Xenopus tropicalis: one gene and its partner. The protein of the gene in region 2 interacts with the protein of the main gene of each other region in a pairwise test. Links are inferred from orthologs where the notes say so. Each region holds a gene or a part of one and is shown on either strand. Other genes may lie near its edges.

What was found.
Region 1: the proteins of srf (region 2) and elk4 interact in a two-hybrid assay, tested with the Homo sapiens proteins (2 studies listed by BioGRID and IntAct). The link is inferred for Xenopus tropicalis from reciprocal best matches to the Homo sapiens genes SRF and ELK4.

What each region holds. Positions count from the first base shown.
Region 1 is NC_030678.2:73,347,540-73,354,633, forward strand, and holds the end of elk4 (ETS domain-containing protein Elk-4), read right to left. Parts: coding exon 7,035-7,094; intron 4,024-7,034; coding exon 3,907-4,023; intron 3,328-3,906; coding exon 3,229-3,327; 3' UTR 2,436-3,228; downstream 1-2,435. UniProt on the Homo sapiens protein: Involved in both transcriptional activation and repression. Interaction with SIRT7 leads to recruitment and stabilization of SIRT7 at promoters, followed by deacetylation of histone H3 at 'Lys-18' (H3K18Ac) and subsequent transcription repression.
Region 2 is NC_030681.2:1,166,019-1,174,360, forward strand, and holds the start of srf (serum response factor), read right to left. Parts: upstream 5,414-8,342; 5' UTR 4,381-5,413; exon of another isoform or gene 4,301-4,380; 5' UTR 4,067-4,300; coding exon 3,689-4,066; intron 1-3,688. UniProt on the Homo sapiens protein: SRF is a transcription factor that binds to the serum response element (SRE), a short sequence of dyad symmetry located 300 bp to the 5' of the site of transcription initiation of some genes (such as FOS).

The DNA of each region.
Region 1 (7,094 bases), on a different chromosome or scaffold from region 2:
TGGCAAGCACCTGTCACAGGCAGATTCCAGCATGAAAATGCTAAAGTGTAAGGCTCTGATCCTGAGGGCTTATCTAGAATCCCTGCCATTAAGCAAGTTGGGGCTTAACTTGTTATCTTGAGAGTCAAAGAAATACATTTCCCCCATGCAAGTATAAAAGGTGCCAAAACTGTTTGAAAGAGTAAAACCATTTACCCAAAAAAATGCTATTTTATATATTACACAATGTTCTGGCAAAGTAAGCACTTTGTATTGACCACAGTATGCCTTTCATTTAAGAAAACTGGGTTTTTTTAATCAGCTTTTTAAAACCACCTTGGTTTAGAACAATGCATTAAAAAAAGAGAATATTATATTAAAATGTAAGCTATTATACAAAAATGTACATTAATGTCTTTGGAAAAGATAAGGAGTGAACTCTGCACATTAACTTATAGGGAAAGGGACACATTCCAGTTTTAAAAAGAAAGTGTCACTATGCCTACATAAGGCTACTCATCGAAAATCACTTCTATAAAAGGCGCCCCCCTACCTTCCCATTATTAACCTGTGTCCAGCATCAAGCTGAGCAAATTGTGATTCACAACTGGCTTGGGAGCAGGCAAAGTCCCCATAGGCTGGAGACAAGGCCCCAAGACACCTGGGTCTACACTCTGTCCTCCAAAGCAAACACTAACTCTAAAAGTTTGCTCTGTTTAAAGCTGTTGAAGCTCAAACTAGAACATGTCTCAAAAACTGCAATGAGTTGCTACCTACATACACAGTTACCAGAGATCTTTAAAGGGGTTCTGTCACGGAAAATTATGTTTTTTTACAAAAATAGTTTCCAGAATCAGAATCCTGCATTAAAATTCATTTTTCAAAAAAGCAAAAACAATTTTTTTTTCAGTATTTAGTTTTAAAATATTATGTGGGGCTAGACATATTCTTAGTTTCCCAGGTACCCTCAACCACGTGACAAGTTGGAGTTATTTCATCCCCTGCTTTCCCCCACAGCAGGCTATCAACAGAACAATGGGCAAGTAACCAGATAAGAGCTTCCGGACACCTGCTTTGCTAAAAATGATCCCATGCCCCACCAAGTGGTAGATATGAGAATAGCACTCAATAGTAAAAAACATGCTGGGCCACAATTTAATTGTAATTTAGTAATAAAAAACACACATTAAAAATATGACAGAATCCCTTTAAGTGACCTTTAAGTGTGGTTGGTCCCTTCATTGGTGCAGATGGGACTGCACATGCTCCATGGGATCTAGACTGCTCTAGGTGGTTACTGGCTGTTTGGTAATATCAGCAACTTAGGGCCAGATGAATAAATGGGAGTATTCAGGGAACAAGCAAGGAAGTTTAATTCTTCACAGTCTCAGATCTTGTTTCTTCAGGACTTCCATTTGGAAAATTACCGCAGATGCTTTACCCCTTCAATGCCAAGGTTCTTTGCTCATGTCACTACCCATGCTGCCAGCAAACATGTTGGACAGGCCAAAACAGAATGCAGAAACACAAATTTGACAGCCTTGCATTCAGGTTTTACCCCTTCAATGGGGCACACTAAGCTTTAGGGGGTTATACGAGGGACATGGTTTTCATATCAGATTTGGAAGCTTTAACTTCTAGGAAAAGGTATGTGAACAACTGCCCCTGCTAACAGCGTTACTAGAAGCTCAATAAAACATTTACTGAAATATAAAAAAAAAAATAAAAAAATATTATACATGTTATGTTAAAAAAGCTGTAATTAGCAATTGCTGCTCAGTTAATTCAAAAAGGAATGCAATGCTTATAGACAGCAGTTCAAGTACCCAGCTAAAATATACAACACAAACTAATTCTTTTCCAAATATATTCTGCCGGGCTTATGCTCCTAGTACTTTTAAGAAACAGAAATGAATGTATTGCAAGGAGTCAAAAAACAGAATAGGTTTGCCAGTAAGTGGTGCTCCTCTTTTATGCTAAACAAGAGATGTCACCAGTATAGATCTGGCCAAAGGAAAGCAGTAAAATGGAGGCCAGCCGCATTTGAGACCCAATCATACTCAATAATCGCATTCAAAATAAAGTCACAGTAAACAAACACGTGACTGATATTACATATTGGTCCTATGTAAGAGGCTGTACATAATCACATGAGCCAGATTTTATCTTTCCACAAGCAGAAAGCCATTTTCTCAAAATCAAAGTTCCTAGCCATACAAAGTCATCAGTAAAAGTGCAAACCTTTAACTGGGATATAAACAATATTTCCAATATATAACTTTACATTTGTATGTATTTTAAAATCTATCCAAAACACTGCTTCATCGTAGGATATATAGAGCTCCTAATTCCAACTTTTTGCATTGTATCTTACCACCACAAGTATATATACCCATGGATCAGATAAGGCAAATTAGTGCTAACTGCTTTTGATGATTTCCACCATTTTTGAGATATATTGAATGTAACAGTTGGTTTATGTGAGAGCCATTTAAGAGTTTTTCTTAAACCATCTAATGACAAAATGTATGATTTTATTTAACCATATATATTTTTGTATATACAATAAAATAATTCCGGACTTGGAGATACTGCACTATTAAGAATTGCACTAGATGCCTGTTTTGTGGCTACAGTTAAGTTAGATCATAGCCAGCTGGGCAACATTACTAGGATTTTAGGTGGCAGTACAAACATGGCTGACATGGCTCTTGAGTATAGCATAAGTCCACTGTTTCCCTTTGGCCTATTACAGTATATGTTTAAGTGCTTTAGATTCTCTTAAAAAAAATGAAAATTGAACAGTACCTCCACCTGAGTCAAAATGGACCTTGACTGATCCTTGAATTATGCTTGAGGTGTTTCAATTCTTCAAAGGTTCCAACTTGTTCCAAACTGCATCCTTCTCCTGGTAAACAGGTTTATTAAAAGGCAAAAAACAGCTAAGGAGTTTTATTATTTAACCAAAAGTAACTGATCTGATGAAGAAATTAAAAACTAGTCAGGACAACAAGGCAGTAGGCTCCTACTGACTTTGTGTTGTCACCTGATTCATAGTTGACTTTTTTTCCAAGTGCAATTGATCTCGATAACATTTTCAGCAACATGGTGTCCCTAAATTCAGTACGATTCTTTTTCTACTTGTGGCAACTGATATTTACTACTTTATGAATATATAACTTTTTCTTTTTCTAGTACATCCCACCCTACATGTTTTTTCATGTTTGCTCTGATATTACAAGGTTTCTGCTAGGACTTCTGAAGATCAGGAGAAAAAGGTCCAGGTGTGGTTGGGCTGTCGAAACTTGATAAGGTGAACGGCATGTGGCTGTTATACACAGATGGAAACTAAATAGGAAAATAAATGTCAGATGCTGCAATACAATCCATAAAGCAGACACAACAGGCAAAATTCCTGTCCAACATTATTTGGTTTCTTTAGAAACTCATTCACACATGCATAGGCCATGCAGCTGGGACCTTTAAATGTGCTGGCTGGCTCCTACTAAGTAAAGAAGGCATTACAATGGTAATCTGAATATATTGCAACATCATACATGAATGCATTATCAATCAGCCTCAGTACAGTTTTAACACATTTGGGGTTGTTTTGTCTAAGAAGTGCAGAATTGCTTGTCCTTTCAATACATAAATTACATCTGTCTATTAAATTTAGAGGGGATCAAAACCATGTTTCTCTCTAAAATGTAGAAAGAAAGCAATCCTGCGTGACTGCAATGCAGGTGCATAGAAAGTGCTGATAAAACTGACTATAACTGATAATATCTCGAATCCACTAAAATCAGGAAATTAATGTAAATTGCAAAAGTGTTCAGATGACCACTCTGATTAAATTTACATAAATCATTTTGTGAGGGTTAGAACCCCTTACTATTGTGGATGCAACCTGAATCATTGATCACCTACCTGAAACAGAGTGCTTGCTCCATGTAATCTGGCAGGGCTATGAGGGGCCACTGGACTCAGTGTGCTCCAGAAGTGTATGCTGGACAACAAGGGGCTAGGGGTCAGCAGAATAGGAGTCTGAAACAGTAACAAGTCAATGTTAGTTACATTTAATAGCCACCACCGATTGGATGGCATACGCGGTGCAGCGATTTGCCGAAGTTGCCTTGAGAGGAAACTTCGGGGATTTCGGTGCTACATATGCCATCCCACCACCGATTTACATTCTAGCCAGTGGGATGGCATTTCGGGGACATTAGTCGCCCGACGACTAATCTGCTCCTCTGTCACAGCCCTAAAATGAATAATATGAACATGCCGATTAAAAATAGATTATTGCAATTAGTACTTTTGTGATGACAAGGCTTTTGGTTATCTTGAAAACCAGCTGTTTGTGTCAACTGACTAAACAGATAACTAGAAACACTGCACTAGGCATTATTAGGCATCCAGATAAGGCAACAGTGATCAAAACTTGACACCTATCTGACTTTTTATTAGTTACTCTGTTTTCTTTATATTTGAAAATCAATAAAAATCATAAAAAAAAACAAAACACGATACCATAAAAAATGATAAAATGATAAAATAGATTATGTTTAATCAGCTCAGAAAAACTCTATCTATTGCATGTCACGATACACAAAATTTACTGAGGCAGTAAATGGCTTCATTTTGCTCCTGGTGTTCTTTATGTCCAGTGTTACTAGGCATTTAAGAGCTATTTAGCAGCCCTTCAGATGGCCATACATTATAAGATTTGCTCGTCTGGCCAGGCCGTCAAACAAGCAGATCTTTCCCCATTATGCCCACCTAAGGTGGGCGATATCAGGCTTAAACAATGGTTTGGCTCTAACGACAAAAATAGAAGTGGTCTGAGCAGTGGCCCGCCCACTGCCAACACCCATCGATCCCCCCCACCGGTGCATGCGCACACAGAGCGGCGGGAGGTTACATGGGCCGCTGCACAATTGAGGGAAAGGGTCCGGAACTGGTGGTACCTTGTCACCTACCCCTAGTTCCGGCTTTGGGTCCGAGTGAGGACTGCATCAATGAGCTGACGCAGCCCCCGATACAACTAAAAAATCAAACTTGCCCGACATCTGGAGGATTTTGGCCAGCTGCCAAATCAGTCTAAAGGACTCCAATATGCAGCTTAAATCTGCCTGTGTATGGCAACCTTTAGGCACAACTAGAGGAAAACACTAGTATGCCTGCCAGTTGGCATATGGCAACCATTTTATATTGTTTTGCTTTTTTTTTTTATATTAGTTTTTATTTGTTTTTATTCTCCCCTCTCTCTCTGCTTGTAATGATGACAGACTGTTTATACAGAGGTAATAAGCTCGGTGTGTCTGGGTTTCAGATAAAAAATAACTAATCTGTGAACTGGTAATTTGCTTAACTAGCTTTTCCTACTCTCACAGTTGCTATGAGTACCTAATGAAACTATGAGTATATGAATAAACTTACATATACATGAGTGTAATGCCACCCAGTGAAAGAATCAAAAATCCTTCTTGTAGCCAAAGTAAGGCCACTAAAAAAGTGTGGATGTACCAGAAAGAATAAGTCATATAATGCAATACTTGTGCCTTTTGGCCCACACTGATTTCTATTTTTGGTTTCACAATTTATATGATTCCGATTGACCTATCTTTATACACAAGCCAATAATCCAATCCATTTGGTGTTCATGAGAAATCGTTGTTACATAATAAACACACTGCCTGCTTATATCTGCTTTGTGTTGCTGGTAGTATTATCTTTTATAAAATGGGTCTTCTGAGGGCAAATTATAATGCTTTACAAATATTTAGAAGACATAGTCAGATAGCGGGGACCTATTTTTGCACAAAAAAAAAAGGAAACAAGGGACAAACCGCCCTTTTACTCAAAAATACAGAACTCTGGGTACTCTGGGTTTTCTCCCACTCTCCAATAACATACAGGCATGTTAACTGGCTATTGATTACATTGGGCCATGTGTGTGAATGGGATAGGAACCGAGGATTAGAAAAGTTCTGCTAGGGCAGGGACTGATGTTATTGACATAAAATTTCTGTAAAGCACTACATAAATGTGTGTGGCTTTATATAAATAATAGATAAAAAATAAAATAATAGTCCTGATAATGCTTTGGCCACCACAAATTAAGAAACGGTGCTCTACTGAATATGATGAAAGGAGAATAGCAAAAGAAGGAGAGCAACCCAGTAACTGCATTGTTAAGATGCCTAAAATAACACAACAATTAAACCACACACAGAGATTGCATTGTACTGTAAATTACATATTATTGTTATTTCGGCTCAGGTACCTCTGCATACACATTCAATTCTGTTTATCTTGATGAATATATATATATATATATATATATATATATATATATATATATATATAGGAACAGAGTGCTGCACACACGGGGACTTAGGAAAAAGCAAAAACGTGTTTATTGGAAAAGATCTGACGTTTCGAGCACTTACTGTGCTCTTCCTCAGGGACAAAATTGTTGTATGCACATCTTGACTTGCATTTGAAGTTTACTCATGCAGAAATAATAAGCTAAGAGAAGCCAGATGCAACAACGTAAACTTGCAAGGTAGAATCATGCTTTTCTGTATTAAACTGGTTTCAGTAAATTTGTTACACTCACCTAGTAACCTATTTTTCTTGTCCTACGCCTTGCACACTGTGCTTAGTTTTTGCCCCAATCATATGGCTGTCGATAGTTGTCTGACAAGAACTATACCCCCGAGCGCAAAAAGCACTCTTAAACATGTTGGTACCCCCAAGTGACTTAGCCTTTTGTTCTCCATTAACTATCATTGCCTAGACCCCCCCCCCCACCTCTCCCTTATCGCAAAGTTTACACCTTGTTCCTATCGCTAACCAATAACATCTTCTTACCAACTGAAGACAACTCTCCGCCAATACAAACCTGCTTGGTCCGTGTCTGAAATAGTTGTGGAATCAGATTGTTACAAAAAATAAATAAAAACAATATTAAAAAAAAATTCTGAATTAGTTATACTTAATCTCTAAATCTTATTGTTTGATAGCAACATTTCAAGAAACTGCCCACTTACCTGGGAAAAAAATGCAGGTGTTAGAGAAGCTGTCCCCAGTGAAGGGCTAAGGATTCCCAG
Region 2 (8,342 bases):
TATTCCATTCCCATCAGTCCCTGCCCCAGTGAGCTAACAATCTAAGGTCCCTATCCCATTCCCATCAGCCCCTGCCCCAGTGAGCTTACAATCTAAGGTCCCTATCCCATTCCCCTCAGTCCCTGCCCCAGTGAGCTTACAATCTAAGGCCCCTATCCCATTCCCCTCAGTCCCTGCCCCAGTGAGCTTACAATCTAAGGCCCCTATCCCATTCCCCTCAGTCCCTGCCCCAGTGAGCTTACAATCTAAGGTCCCTATCCCATTCCCCTCAGTCCCTGCCCCAGTGAGCTTACAATCTAAGGTCCCTATCCCATTCCCATCAGTCCCTGCCCCAGTGAGCTTACAATCTAAGGCCCCTATCCCATTCCCCTCAGTCCCTGCCCCAGTGAGCTTACAATCTAAGGTCCCTATCCCATTCCCATCAGTCCCTGCCCCAGTGAGCTTACAATCTAAGGTCCCTTTCCCATTCCCATCAGTCCCTGCCCCAGTGAGCTTACAATCTAATGTCCCTATCCCATTCCCATCAGTCCCTGCCCCAGTGAGCTTACAATCTAAGGTCCCTATCCCATTCCCATCAGCCCCTGCCCCAGTGAGCTAACAATCTAAGGTCCCTATCCCATTCCCATCAGCCCCTGCCCCAGTGAGCTAACAATCTAAGGTCCCTATCCCATTCCATCAGCCCCTGCCTCAGTGAGCTTACAATCTAAGGTCCCTATCACATTCCCATCAGTCCCTGCCCCAGTGAGCTTACAATCTAAGGTCCCTATCCCATTCCCATCAGCCCCTGCCCCAGTGAGCTTACAATCTAATGTCCCTATCCCATCAGTCCCTGCCCCAGTGAGCTTACAATCTAATGTCCCTATCCCATCAGTCCCTGTCCCAGTGAGCTTACAATCTAATGTCCCTATCCCATTCCCATCAGCCCCTGCCCCAGTGAGCTTACAATCTAAGGTCCCTATCACATTCCCATCAGTCCCTGCCCCAGTGAGCTTACAGTCTAAGGTCCCTATTCCATTCCCATCAGTCCCTGCCCCAGTGAGCTTACAATCTAAGGTCCCTATTCCATTCCCATCAGTCCCTGCCCCAGTAAGCTTACAATCTAAGGTCCCTATCACATTCCCATCAGTCCCTGCCCCAGTGAGCTAACAATCTAAGGTCCCTATCACATTCCCATCAGTCCCTGCCCCAGTGAGCTTACACTCTAAGGTCCCTATTCCATTCCCATCAGTCCCTGCCCCAGTGAGCTAACAATCTAAGGTCCCTATCCCATTCCCATCAGACCCTGCCCCAGTGAGCTTACAATCTAAGGTCCCTATCACATTCCCATCAGTCCCTGCCCCAGTGAGCTTACAATCTAATGTCCCTATCCCATCAGTCCCTGCCCCAGTGAGCTTACAATCTAATGTCCCTATCCCATCAGTCCCTGTCCCAGTGAGCTTACAATCTAAGGTCCCTATCCCATTCCCATCAGTCCCTGCCCCAGTGAGCTTACAATCTAAGGTCCCTATCCCATTCCCATCAGTCCCTGCCCCAGTGAGCTTACAATCTAATGTCCCTATCCCATTCCCATCAGTCCCTGCCCTAGTGAGCTTACAATCTAATGTCCCTATCCCATCAGCCCCTGCCCCAGTGAGCTTACAATCTAATGTCACTATCCCATTCCCATCAGCCCCTGCCCCAGTGAGCTTACAATCTAAGGTCCCTATCCCATTCCCATCAGCCCCTGCCCCAGTGAGCTTACAATCTAATGTCCCTATCCCATTCCCATCAGTCCCTGCCCTAGTGAGCTTACAATCTAATGTACCTATTCCATTCCCATCAGTCCCTGCCCTAGTGAGCTTACAATCTAATGTCCCTATCCCATCAGTCCCTGTCCCAGTGAGCTTACAATCTAATGTCACTATCCCATTCCCATCAGCCCCTGCCCCAGTGAGCTTACAATCTAAGGTCCCTATCCCATTCCCATCAGTCCCTGCCCCAGTGAGCTTACAATCTAATGTCCCTATCCCATTCCCATCAGTCCCTGCCCCAGTGAGCTTACAATCTAATGTCCCTATCCCATCAGTCCCTGTCCCAGTGAGCTTACAATCTAATGTCACTATCCCATTCCCATCAGCCCCTGCCCCAGTGAGCTTACAATCTAAGGTCCCTATCCCATTCCCATCAGCCCCTGCCCCAGTGAGCTTACAATCTAAGGTCCCTATCCCATTCCCATCAGCCCCTGCCCCAGTGAGCTTACAATCTAAGGTCCCTATCACATTCCCATCAGTCCCTGCCCCAGTGAGCTTACAATCTAAGGTCCCTATCCCATTCCCATCAGTCCCTGCCCCAGTGAGCTTACAATCTAAGGTCCCTATCCCATTCCCATCAGTCCCTGCCCCAGTGAGCTTACAATCTAAGGTCCCTATCCCATTCCCCTCAGTCCCTGCCCCAGTGAGCTTACAATCTAAGGTCCCTATCCCATTCCCATCAGTCCCTGCCCCAGTGAGCTTACAATCTAAGGCCCCTATCCCATTTCCCTCAGTCCCTGCCCCAGTGAGCTTACAATCTAAGGCCCCTATCCCATTCCCATCAGTCCCTGCCCCAGTGAGCTTACAATCTAAGGCCCCTATCCCATTCCCATCAGCCCCTGCCCCAGTGAGCTTACAATCTAAGGTCCCTATCACATTCCCATCAGTCCCTGCCCCAGTGAGCATACAATCTAAGGTCCCTATCCCATTCCCATCAGTCCCTGCCCCAGTGAGCTTACAATCTAAGGTCCCTATCCCATTCCCATCAGTCCCCTGCCCCAGTGAGCTTACAATCTAAGGTCCCTATCCCATTCCCATCAGTCCCTGCCCCAGTGAGCATACAATCTAAGGTCCCTATCCCATTCCCATCAGTCCCTGCCCCAGTGAGCTTACAATCTAAGGTCCCTATCCCATTCCCATCAGTCCCTGCCCCAGTGAGCTTACAATCTAAGGTCCCTATCACATTCCCATCAGTCCCTGCCCCAGTGAGCTTACAATCTAAGGTCCCTATCCCATTCCCATCAGTCCCTGCCCCAGTGAGCTTACAATCTAAGGTCCCTATCCCATTCCCCTCAGTCCCTGCCCCAGTGAGCTTACAATCTAAGGCCCCTATCCCATTTCCCTCAGTCCCTGCCCCAGTGAGCTTACAATCTAAGGCCCCTATCCCATTCCCATCAGTCCCTGCCCCAGTGAGCTTACAATCTAAGGCCCCTATCCCATTCCCATCAGCCCCTGCCCCAGTGAGCTTACAATCTAAGGTCCCTATCACATTCCCATCAGTCCCTGCCCCAGTGAGCATACAATCTAAGGTCCCTATCCCATTCCCATCAGTCCCTGCCCCAGTGAGCTTACAATCTAAGGTCCCTATCCCATTCCCATCAGTCCCTGCCCCAGTGAGCTTACAATCTAAGGTCCCTATCACATTCCCATCAGTCCCTGCCCCAGTGAGCTTACAATCTAAGGTCCCTATCCCATTCCCATCAGTCCCTGCCCCAGTGAGCTTACAATCTAAGGTCCCTATCCCATTCCCATCAGTCCCTGCCCCAGTGAGCTAACAATCTAAGGTCCCTATCCCATTCCCATCAGCCCCTGCCCCAGTGAGCTAACAATCTAAGTTCCCTATGCCCGATATACCCTAGCTGTTTGTACTTTTGCCCCAGATGCCCCGGGGTACTTACCTTCTTCATGATGCCAGTTTTGCGCTTGCTGAAGGTCGTGTAGCGCCGCAGTTTGTTATCGATGAATTCCATCTTAATCTTCACTCGGCCGCGGGTTTTCTTGCCAGGTTTTGCCCCTGACACCGTGCCACTGGCCCCCGGGTACCCCACACCGCCGGCTGCACCCCCTTGTTCCGGCAGCTCAAGCTCGTTGAGCCCCCGCTTTAACCCCCGCCCAGGAGGATCCTCCTCTTCCCCCGAGTCTGAGCTCCCAGAGCTGCCGCTGTATTGGACCCCGGGGCCCCTAACCCCTGGGCAACCAGCCCCATTGCCTGCCCTGCGGGCCAACCCCAGCCCCCGGCCTGACCCCACCACCCCGGCCTGGCTACTGGGCAACATCCCTAGGGGGCATGGGGGGGTGCCCCACTCTTATACCACTTCCTGGGATAAAACCTACTAATCTGCCCTTCCTTGGGGCAAAACCCGCCTATAATAGGTATAACTAACCTACCCTCCTGGGGTAATGCCTACTAGCAATCTGCCCGGGGTACAAACTTAAATGCCCCACCTGAGCTCCTCAGTGCCCCTTGCCTGGGCAAAGCAAACACTGCTCCCTGGGGCTAATACGGATACCTGCCCCCCCGGACTCTCTCCCTGGGGCTAATACGGATACCTGCCCCCCCGGACTCTCTCCCTGGGGCTAATACGGATACCTGCCCCCCCCGGACTCTCTCCCTGGGGCTAATACGGATACCTGCCCCCCCGGACTCTCTCCCTGGGGCTAATACGGATACCTGCCCCCCCGGACTCTCTCCCTGGGGCTAATACGGATACCTGCCCCCCCCGGACTCTCTCCCTGGGGCTAATACGGATACCTGCCCCCCCCGGACTCTCTCCCTGGGGCTAATACGGATACCTGCCCCCCCGGACTCTCTCCCTGGGGCAAATACGGATACCTGCCCTCCCCGGACTCTCTCCCTGGGGCTAATACGGATACCTGCCCCCCCGGACTCTCTCCCTGGGGCAAATACGGATACCTGCCCCCCCGGACTCTCTCCCTGGGGCTAATACGGATACCTGCCCCCCCGGACTCTCTCCCTGGGGCTAATACGGATACCTGCCCCCCCGGACTCTCTCCCTGGGGCAAATACGGATACCTGCCCCCCCGGACTCTGTCCCTGGGGCTAATACGGATACCTGCCCCCCCGGACTCTCTCCCTGGGGCTAATACGGATACCTGCCCCCCCGGACTCTCTCCCTGGGGCTAATACGGATACCTGCCCCCCCGGACTCTCTCCCTGGGGCTAATACGGATACCTGCCCCCCCGTCTCTCTCCCTGGGGCTAATACGGATACCTGCCCCCCCGGACTCTCTCCCTGGGGCTAATACGGATACCTGCCCCCCCGGACTCTCTCCCTGGGGCTAATACGGATACCTGCCCCCCCGGACTCTCTCCCTGGGGCTAATACGGATACCTGCCCCCCCGGACTCTCTCGCTGTCGGACTGTTGGTTCCGGCCCGGGCCGCACTCCCTCTCCCTGACCGGCCTGTCTGGCTGTGGCTTCCCCGCTCTCCCTGCTCCAACCAATCACATCCCGAGCCGCATCACACTCACACACTCGGTTCCCACCGCCAGAGCGTGTAAATGAGATCCTTGCGCGCCCCTTGCCGGAACTAATTCCCATTAAATATGGTTTGGGCGGAAGGGTACATGAGCCGGAGTGGCGCTGAGGGACTATTTTCTCCCTTATAAAGCGTTACAATGTTTCCTTTTATGGAAAAGCCTCTCCTTATATGGTGAGTCACCGCGCTTCGCTCCCATTGGCCCGGGGCCCGGACACAGCGCTTCCCTGATTGGGTGGAAGGGGGAAAGCGAGGCGGGGCCTGTTACGTCCATTTAGAGCGAACCCGAGTCACGTGGGAGGTTAGAGATCAGCTGTTCCCTCAGTAGGTACCGCCCCCTGATGTGTCCGAACAGCTGAGCGCAGGGGCTTGTGGGAAAGTGTCCGGGCCCTGGGGTCTCCTCCCCTTTACTATCTGGCGCATAGAGCATTATGGGTAATGTAGTAGCATTATGGGTAATGTAGTAGCATTATGGGTAATGTAGTAGCATTATGGGTAATGTAGTAGCATTATGGGTAATGTAGTGCGTCTGAACTTCCCTTTCCCCAGTGAGTCCGCTGTAACCCCTTATAGATACTGGGGCCCCTCTCTCCCCTTATAGATACTGGGGCCCCTCTCTCCCCTTATAGATACTGGGGCCCCTCTCTCCCCTTATAGATACTGGGGCCCCTCTCTCCCCTTATAGATACTGGGGCCCCTCTCTCCCCTTATAGATACTGGGGCCCCTCTCTCCCCTTATAGATACTGGGGCCCCTCTCTCCCCTTATAGATACTGGGGCCCCTCTCTCCCCTTATAGATACTGGGGCCCCTCTCCCCTTATAGATACTGGGGCCCCTCTCCCCCCTTATAGATACTGGGGCCCCTCTCTCCCCTTATAGATACTGGGGCCCCTCTCTCCCCTTATAGATACTGGGGCCCCTCTCCCCTTATAGATACTGGGGCCCCTCTCCCCCCTTATAGATACTGGGGCCCCTCTCTCCCCTTATAGATACTGGGGCCCCTCTCCCCCCTTATAGATACTGGGGCCCCTCTCCCCCCTTATAGATACTGGCGCTCCTCTCCCCCCTTATAGATACTGGGGCCCCTCTCCCCCCTTATAGATACTGGGGCCCCTCTCTCCCCTTATAGATACTGGGGCCCCTCTCTCCCCTTATAGATACTGGGGCCCCTCTCCCCTTATAGATACTGGGGCCCCTCTCCCCCCTTATAGATACTGGGGCCCCTCTCTCCCCTTATAGATACTGGGGCCCCTCTCTCCCCTTATAGATACTGGGCCCCTCACGCGCAGCCCTTAGTTACTGGGCCCCTCACGCGCAGCCCTTAGTTACTGGGCCCCTCACGCGCAGCCCTTAGTTGCTGGGCCCCTCACGCGCAGCCCTTAGTTGCTGGGCCCCTCACGCGCAGCCCTTAGTTACTGGGCCCCTCACGCGCAGCCCTTAGTTACTGGGCCCCTCACGCGCAGCCCTTAGTTACTGGGCCCCTCACGCGCAGCCCTTAGTTGCTGGGCCCCTCACGCGCAGCCCTTAGTTGCTGGGCCCCTCACGCGCAGCCCTTAGTTGCTGGGCCCCTCACGCGCAGCCCTTAGTTGCTGGGCCCTCACGCGCAGCCCTTAGTTACTGGGCCCCTCACGCGCAGCCTTTAGTTACTGGGCCCCTCACGCGCAGCCCTTAGTTACTGGGCCCCTCACGCGCAGCCCTTAGTTGCTGGGCCCCTCACGCGCAGCCCTTAGTTGCTGGGCCCCTCACGCGCAGCCCTTAGTTGCTGGGCCCCTCACGCGCAGCCCTTAGTTGCTGGGCCCCTCACGCGCAGCCCTTAGTTACTGGGCCCCTCACGCGCAGCCCTTAGTTGCTGGGCCCCTCACACACAGCCCTTAGTTGCTGGGCCCCTCACACACAGCCCTTAGTTGCTGTTCCCCTCACGCGCAGCCCTTAGTTACTGGGCCCCTCACGCGCAGCCCTTAGTTACTGGGCCCCTCACGCGCAGCCCTTAGTTACTGGGCCCCTCACGCGCAGCCCTTAGTTACTGGGCCCCTCACGCGCAGCCCTTAGTTGCTGGGCCCCTCACGCGCAGCCCTTAGTTGCTGGGCCCCTCACGCGCAGCCCTTAGTTGCTGGGCCCCTCACGCGCAGCCCTTAGTTGCTGGGCCCCTCACGCGCAGCCCTTAGTTGCTGGGCCCCTCACGCGCAGCCCTTAGTTGCTGGGCCCCTCACGCGCAGCCCTTAGTTGCTGGGCCCCTCACGCGCAGCCCTTAGTTGCTGGGCCCCTCACGCGCAGCCCTTAGTTGCTGGGCCCCTCACGCGCAGCCCTTAGTTGCTGGGCCCCTCACGCGCAGCCCTTAGTTGCTGGGCCCCTCACGCGCAGCCCTTAGTTGCTGGGCCCCTCACGCGCAGCCCTTAGTTGCTGGGCCCCTCACGCGCAGCCCTTAGTTGCTGGGCCCCTCACGCGCAGCCCTTAGTTACTGGGCCCCTCACGCGCAGCCCTTAGTTACTGGGCCCCTCACGCGCAGCCCTTAGTTACTGGGCCCCTCACGCGCAGCCCTTAGTTGCTGGGCCCCTCACGCGCAGCCCTTAGTTGCTGGGCCCCTCACACACAGCCCTTAGTTGCTGGGCCCCTCACGCGCAGCCCTTAGTTACTGGGCCCCTCACGCGCAGCCCTTAGTTACTGGGCCCCTCACGCGCAGCCCTTAGTTACTGGGCCCCTCACGCGCAGCCCTTAGTTACTGGGCCCCTCACGCGCAGCCCTTAGTTGCTGGGCCCCTCACGCGCAGCCCTTAGTTGCTGGGCCCCTCACACACAGCCCTTAGTTGCTGGGCCCCTCACGCGCAGCCCTTAGTTACTGGGCCCCTCACGCGCAGCCCTTAGTTGCTGGGCCCCTCACGCGCAGCCCTTAGTTGCTGGGCCCCTCACGCGCAGCCCTTAGTTACTGGGCCCCTCACGCGCAGCCCTTAGTTACTGGGCCCCTCACGCGCAGCCCTTAGTTACTGGGCCCCTCACGCGCAGCCCTTAGTTACTGGGCCCCTCACGCGCAGCCCTTAGTTGCTGGGCCCCTCAC